Sus scrofa: one gene and its partner. The protein of the gene in region 2 purifies or fractionates together with the protein of the main gene of each other region. This does not show direct contact. Links are inferred from orthologs where the notes say so. Each region holds a gene or a part of one and is shown on either strand. Other genes may lie near its edges.

What was found.
Region 1: the proteins of LSM14A (region 2) and C1QBP purify together in Homo sapiens (affinity purification with mass spectrometry; 3 studies listed by BioGRID and IntAct, with this or other methods). This does not show direct contact. The link is inferred for Sus scrofa from reciprocal best matches to the Homo sapiens genes LSM14A and C1QBP.

The regions. Positions count from the first base shown.
Region 1 is NC_010454.4:51,546,896-51,551,172, reverse strand, and holds the start of C1QBP (complement component 1 Q subcomponent-binding protein, mitochondrial), read right to left. Parts: upstream 2,813-4,277; 5' UTR 2,708-2,812; coding exon 2,476-2,707; intron 1,911-2,475; coding exon 1,760-1,910; intron 255-1,759; coding exon 161-254; intron 1-160.
Region 2 is NC_010448.4:43,885,867-43,889,427, forward strand, and holds part of LSM14A (protein LSM14 homolog A), read left to right. Parts: intron 1-1,352; coding exon 1,353-1,529; intron 1,530-1,802; coding exon 1,803-1,868; intron 1,869-3,561. UniProt on the Homo sapiens protein: Essential for formation of P-bodies, cytoplasmic structures that provide storage sites for translationally inactive mRNAs and protect them from degradation. Acts as a repressor of mRNA translation. May play a role in mitotic spindle assembly.

The DNA of each region.
Region 1 (4,277 bases), on a different chromosome or scaffold from region 2:
AGTGCTTTATAAGAAAAGGCCCAAGGATGACTGTATTTTGCCTTCTCTCCCCTAGCATTAGAGGACGGGAAACAGCAAAAACCAGGGCTCCTTCTCTAAGCCTCCAGAATGGCCTGTCAGAACAAGGTGGCACAAGCTGGTTCCTGTGCTACAAACCTACCTCCTGTTCCTCAACCTTCTGCCCTTCCGACGGCTGCTCCTCCTCCCCATAGGGGGGTGGGATGCTGTTGTTGATGTTGAAGGTGACAGTGATCCTAGAAAAGCCAAAGAAACACAGAATGTACTTTCAACAGAGTAGTTAAGGCGGGTGCCTGCATCCTACCCACAGCTGGATTCAGCAGGTCTGAGGTGGGCCTACTATGTGCTGCCAGACGGCCGTCAAATAGACCCTAGCTCCTAAGACAGTCATGGTTGGGCCCCTTCCATCAGGTCAGCATCCGGGGCTCAGTGCCAACATGTGTCCACAGCCAGCTAACACTGCTGTCCCAGTCTTCCCAGGACACCCTCTGGTGGTGGTGAACAGCTGAGAAGCTGGGGGCAAAGCCTTTAAAAAGCTGTCCTCCATCAGAAAATCTGCCCCTGGGAGGAAGGAAGAAGGCGTCCTGGAGGGTGGTGGCATGAGCTGAGCATGAGGAGCAGCCAGTGAGGGGAGAGCTCCCAGAGAACAGGCTGCAGGACAGGCTCATTCCTCAGGGCAGTTGCGCGAAGTGTTACAATCACAAAGCAGACTGCAAACATCAAGTAGTGACAATTTTAAGTTAAAAGACTCGCCACCTCATGGTACCTCGTTTCAAAGTTTGAATGATAAACAGATTTGGAATGAGCAGTGCTGGGTGGTGTGCCGCAGTGCGCTGTAGTTCTTCTCCGGGCTGTGCTAACCAGCCGCCTTGTCAGTTTGAGGTTTGAGGTTCAGCCATAAAATTTGTCTAATCTGCAACAGTGCTGACTAAGCTGAGCTCCTGGGCACCAAATTGCAGTTACGTTCATTAGAACATTATTTTTACACTGGCCTTAAACTGCCTATGACTTACCCTAGTCAAGTGGTTTAGGCAAAGTTCCAGAATAACACGATGGATTTATGAAGGGGAAACACACTAACTACACCACCAGGTGAAAAAGAACCAGAATCCTACTTCACAGCACAAACAGAAACCTTTGTTCACCCAGAGTGGATCGCGGACTTAGCTTAACCAAGTGGAAGGCTTCCCACCTCTCTAATGATAACCCTTGCCATACCCCATCCTGCCACTTATCTTCTTTTCTCCACTGTAAACACAGTAGGGGCTTTGTTTTCCTAGCCTGTAACTCAGAGATTCTCTCCTACTGTCAGAATTTCTGAATTTGCATGCCTAGATTTAGGAAAGGCGTGGCCTCCCTCACCAGTAAGGGTTTAGTGAATGATGCCTCTACTGGTCCAACAGACTCCCAGCTACTTGGCTTCTTTCTACTTTCTTACTACCTTCTCATTAACCACCACAGCACATCAGTGTGCAGCGGATGAACGGCCTGGAGCTTGTGAAGTTACCAAAACAAGGCCTCTCAGCTCTCAGAAAGTGTCAAAGTACCTGCCTTAACTAAAGGCTGGTTTTTGGTTTTGTTTTTCCTTTCTGGCCACCCCTTGGCATATGGAGTTTCCAGGTCAGGGATCAGATCTGGGCTGCAGTTGTGACCTACACCGCAGCAACCAACTAAAGGCTGTTTGGGGATGACTCAGGGCAGCTCTTGCAGGGTCATGGAGTCCACAGGCCCCAGTACTTACTTTTCTCCAGCAACTTTCCTCACTAATTTGGCTTCTGTCCCATTCACTTCCAGCTCCCAACCTCCAGACATCTTGGGGAGAGACTTATGCTTCTGTATCTTCTTCTCTTCCTTAATCTCATCATTAAGAAATTCAACAAAAGCTTTGTCCCCTGCAATAGAAATCACTTAGTTACAGAAAAAAGAACCAATCAATCTAAAAGAGAAAAATGACCCAGGTTCCTGTAGGCAGAGATCTGGACTTGAGCTATTTCTAATACTTGTACTATTAGTGGCTCTAGGAACTTAGACCAACCCATATCCATTAGGACTCAGTTTCCCCATCTGTAAAAATGCCGTTAAGTTATCAGTAAGAAGTTGAGCTCGATTCTGTAAAAGTGATTCTCAACAATAAACTTCTTACCACTTTTCAAAACAAAGCAAAAGAATTCGTAACTACCCTACTTCTCTTGCTAACTACCATCACCGCTACTTCTACCCGCGACCTTTGGCTTTCACAAAAATCCATTTTCGAGAGACTAAGCTTAAGTATCTCTCCCCTCACGGGCAATCTCGCGTGGGTTTACCCCGCCTTTCGCCGATCAGTGGGAGATTGTTCCCGACCTCGGGCGCGGCTCCGGTCTGTCCACTTGAGATCTAAACTTCCCCGTCCCGGGTCCCCCTGCTCCACCCAGAACCCGGTCCGTTAAGCTCCCGGCCCACGTGCTCGAGTCTCACCTTCGGTGTGCAGCCCGCCGCAGCCGCAGCCGCAGGCGCAGGGCCCCCGAGGCCGTAGGAGGCTGGGCGGCTGCACCGACCCGGCACGCACGCTCAGGAGCCCGAAGGGCCGGGCGCACAGCCGGGACGCGGGCTGCAGCAGCCGCGGGAGCGGCTGGGAGGGCGCGGCGACGCAAAGGCCGGCGACGGCGGTGCCCAGGGCGCGGGGCACGCAGCGTAGCAGTTGCAGCATTTTGGCAGCGGAGGACACGTGTGGATGCGAAAGACGACTCACTCCAAGAAGGACGACTCCTTCTCACCGCGCCCCCTAGTGATAGGACCGCCGCCGGAAGTCCCGCCCCTGCCAGGGAAGCGCTTCCGCGCTGCCTCTTTGCAGACCGAAGACACCGTGGGCGGGATGGCGCCCTCTGCTGGCGGCCTCCGGTGCTGGACTCGCGTAACTAAATTTTCTTTCCGGAGTCGGCTGAGTTCAATTGTCCAGCATCAGTTCTCTCCAGTGGCTGCTGACACACCCTCTAAACTTCCATCTACTCTTCTCAAGCACAGCCAGGTTTTCTATGACTTCGTGGAATGCATTCTTGCCACCCACAACTCCCAAAGACCAGCCTCCGAGGCCATCTCCCTTAGGAAGCCTTCCTGGAGCTTCCTCCTCTTCCTTGAGACACAGGGACTCATGCCTGTGTGACTCGGCCCCTGGGTTTCATTCTTTTCTTGGCAGAAACCTGGCAATACTGGTTTACCTGGAAGCCACCCCTCACTCCCACCAGGCCTGGCGCTCCTAAGGGCAAGGTCCCTGATCAATTCCTGTGACTCCCCAGCTCTCTCCAACTTTACACCTTAATGTTCCAACAGGACATTATTTTTCTGGGGGCAAAAACCTCACAGCTTACATTAGATTTAGATTAAGAAAACTAATCTTCCTACCTTACCAGGGCACGTAAAATACACAGGGTCATCAAGAAAGTAAGTCTTCCCAAATCAGTGGTGAAAATAAAACAATATATTCCTTTTTTTTTTCCTAGGGCTGCTCCCGCGGCATATGGAGGTTCCCAGGCCAGGGGTCCAATCGGAGCTGGAGCCTCCAGCCTACGCCAGAACCACAGCAATGCGGGATCCAAGCCACGTCTGCAGCCTACACAACAGCTCACGGCAACGCCGGATCCTTAACCCACTGAGCAAGGCCAGGGATCGAACCCGCAACCTCATGGTTCCTAGTCGGATTCGTTAACCACTGGGCCACGACGGGAACTCCTAAAACAATATATTCTAAACAACATTTTGTGAATAAAGGAAAGGACACCCAAGAAAGAAGCCACACACATCACGTCACACACATCACGTACAAGATTCACTTATGGTATGCTTTTTTTTTTAAGGTTCACTTTTAATGGATTTAATAGCTGTGTGCAAATTTGAGCATTATATGCAAGAGCTGATGTTTCTATAGTTATGTCTGATCAAGAACAGACTCTCAAAATACAGCACAAACCCGAACTAGATTTTTGGGGGCTTTTTTCTATAAGTTGTAATATTCTGATCAAATACAATTCTTGCTTCCCCATAGATGCACTGTTTCCTTATATGTTCAAGGGGTGGTACCTCAGATGCCTGGTCATAGTTCTACTCATTTCTGGAGAGCTGGATTCAATGGATTCAGACATCACAGTACATAATCAGTTGGATCCACAAAGGAAAAACTTGTCCTCATTCTGGCATCTCTTTACAACAGAGAGGCAACATTAAGTTAGGATTTTTACCAAGAACTGGGTGTTGGCGCTTTTTCCCCTTGTAATGAAATCTGT
Region 2 (3,561 bases):
AGCATAATTTTTTTTTAAAGTAAAACTTATTTTGGTACAGTATCATGGAATATGAGAGCACCCTTATCAGAGATTTACAGCAAACATTAGGGACAAAAAACCTGATGTGAACACCCAGTGTTACATTCTTCTGTTCAGGCTCTGACCTCATAAAAGGAAAAATGGAATTTGTAAGTACAAAAATCCATATTAAGCAAAAAACCATGCCAAGAGATTCCTCAAATAGCAAAGAATCTGTACGGCTACTGTGTAATCATATGAAGGATTTATTTGTTGCTGGTATTGATGTTAATTACCCAAGCCTCTAAGGTATTGAAGAGCTTTACCTGACTTTCTAGTTCTTTACTTCCTTTATAATAGAAATTTAATAGAGATAGTACTTAGAGATATAAAGGTATCACCTTAGACATAGCTTCAGAAGGTATTAAAAAAGTTAAAGTCCCTGGAAATAATGGCTAAAGTGTCAATGTAATCTTGTGGTTGTGGTTATTGGGAAAAGCCTATGTCTGACCTGCCTATGTGATCTTTGATACTATTCCTGGGGAATCTTTTACCAGCAGCAGTTTTTTAAAATAGTTACTTAAGCCTTATTCCACCAGGTAGAATTGCAGACAAAGTTAGTTTTTTGTTTGTTTGGGTGGCTTTTTTGTTTGTTTGTTTTTACTAAATCAAGAGAGCAACCCACTAAAGAAAAACGGTTTTAAACTCTGATCTCATGAGTAGATGGATTCAAATTTGTGCTAAGGAAATTCCCGCTGTGGCTCAGTGGATTAAGAACCCAACCAATATCCAGGAGGATGTGGGTTTGATCCCTGGCCTTGATCACTGGGTTAAGGATCCGACATTGCTATGAGTTGCATTGTAGGTAGCACATGTAGCTTGGCTCTGGCATTGCTGTGGCTGAATGTAGGCCGGCAACTGCAGCTCTGATTCAATCCCTAGCCTAGGAACTTCCATATGCCACAGATGCAGCCCTAGCAAAATGGAAAAAAAAAAATTGTGCTAAGGATTTGAATTGGTAGAAATAAAACTTTGGACTTGGAGGGGGGGCATCCCACATCATTTTAAAACCCCCAAAGGATAGGGTAGTTTTTGCTTTTTTCTTTTTTTTCTTTTTCTTTTTGCTTTTTAGGGCCATACTTGTGGCATATGGAGGTTCCCAGGCTAGGGGTCGAATTGGAGCTACAGCTGCTGGCCTGAACCACAACTCACAGCAACGCTGGATCCTTAACCCACTGAGCAAGTGCAGGGATTGAACCCTCATCTTCATGGATCCTGGTCGGGTTTGTTAACCGCTGAGCCACAAAGGGAACCCCAAAAGGGTAGTTTCTTATCTTTTGGTTACATTTTAGGTCGTTCAAGCCCTCAGTTAGACCCTTTGAGAAAAAGCCCAACCATGGAACAAGCAGTACAGACCGCCTCGGCCCACTTACCTGCTCCGGCACCTGTTGGGAGAAGGAGCCCTGTATCAACCAGGCCTTTACCATCTACCAGCCAAAAAGCAATAGAGAATCAAGAGCACAGGCGAGGTAGAGCTTTAGCTATTTACTTTATTAATTGACTAATCAACATCTTCCATTCAATTTATTTTCATTAAAAAGATGTACTTTATGTGAATCATCTCAGACGGTTTAAACTGAACTTGAATGTTCAGTCTTTCAGATTTGACTCAAAATAGTGATGGGGTGGAGGTACAGATTTTTGGTTTTGTTCTGGGTTGGTTGGTTTGTTTTTCCATTTCTGACTTTCCAGTTTTTGATTATGTGTCCTGAATTGATTGTCACTTTCTGTATGTTCTATAGCTGAAGTACATAAAGTTTCAAGACCAGAAAGTGAGCAGCTCAGAAATGATAGCAAGAGACAAATAGGTAAGTTGTTACTTGGATCTGAAAGTCATATCCTGTGCTTCTCAGTAGAGAAAACATTTGAAATGTATGATGCGTGATTACTATAAAAAAAAATAAACAGCAAGGGTTGGTGACTGTAAAGGAGTAGCACAGGGGAGTTTCTTGTGGTTACAGAACAGTTCTGTATCTTGATTGTGTGGTAGTTGTATAGATATGTACATATAGCAAAATGTCATAGAACTGTGTGAAAAGACATGCCAAAAAATGAGTACATGCAGGAGTTTCCACTGTGGCGCAGTGGGTTAAGAATACAACTGTAGCAGCTTGGGTCACTTTGGAGGTGTGGGTTCAATCCCTGGCCCGGCGCAGTGGGTTAAAGGATCCAGTGCTGCCACAGCTATGGCTCTAATTGAGTTCCTGGTCCAGGAACTTGCATTATGCCACAGGTGCTGCCATTTAAAAAAAAAAAAAAAAAAAAGCAAAACTGTTAAAAGTCTAAATATGAGATTTGTGGTGTCGTTAATTATATTGTGCCAGTGTCCTAGTTTTTTAATGTGTTTTTGTTTACTTCGTTTTGGTTGTTTTTGGTTTTTGTTTCTTTTAAATAGTCATACCTGCCCGGGTGTTCCTGGGCCAGGGATTGAATCTGAGCCATATCTGCAACCTGCACCGAAGTTTCAGCAACACTGGATCCTTTAACCCACTGGGCCAGGCCGGGTATCAAATCCATACTTCCACAGTGACCTGATTTGCTTCAGTCAGATTTTTTTTTTTTTAAGGCCGCACTTGCAGCCTATAGAAGTTCTTGAGCTAGGGGTCCAATCAAAGCTGCAGCTGCAGGCTTATGCCACAGCCATACCAACACAGGATCCAAGCTGCATCTGTGATCTTTGACACAGCTTGCAGCAACTCTGAGTCTTTAACCCACTTAGTGAGGCCAGGGATTGAACCTGCATCCTCACGGACTATGTTGGATTCTTAACCCCTGCACAGGAACTTCTGGTTTTTTATTTAATAGTTAAAGAAGATGTTACTATTGGAGGGGAAGCTAGATGATGCACACACAAAACCACTCTGTGCTTTTTATTTTTCAAAAGACTTTTTTTTTTTTTTTTCTTTTTTTTTGTCTTTTCTAGGGCCGCACCGATGGCACATGGAGGTTCCCAGGCTAGGGATCAAATCGGAGCTGTAGCTTCCAGCCTACGCCAGAGCCACAGCATCTCGGGATCTGAGCCACGTCTGCGACCTACACCACAGCTCACGGCAACACCAAATCCTTAACCCACTGAGCAAGGCCAGGGATTGAACCCACAACCTCATGGTTCCTAGTCGGATTCATTTCTGCTATGCCATGACAGGAACTACCCCCCCCCTTTATAAATGGCCGCACTCATGGCATATGGAAGTTCCCAGGCCAGGGATGGAATCTGAGTCATAGCTGTGACCTACGCTGCAGCTGTGGCAACGCCAGTTCCTTTAACCCACTGCACTGGGCTGTGGATCAAACCCACACCTCTACAGTGACATGAGCCACTACAGTTAGATTTTCAACCCAATGAACCACAGTGGGGACTCCATCTCTCTCTCTCTCTCTTTTTTTTTTTTTTTTTTTTTTGTCTTTTTTGTCTTTTCTAGGGCCATATCTGTGGCACATGGAAGTTCCCAAGCTAGGGGTCTAATCGGAGCTATAGCTGCCGGCCTACACCACAGCCAG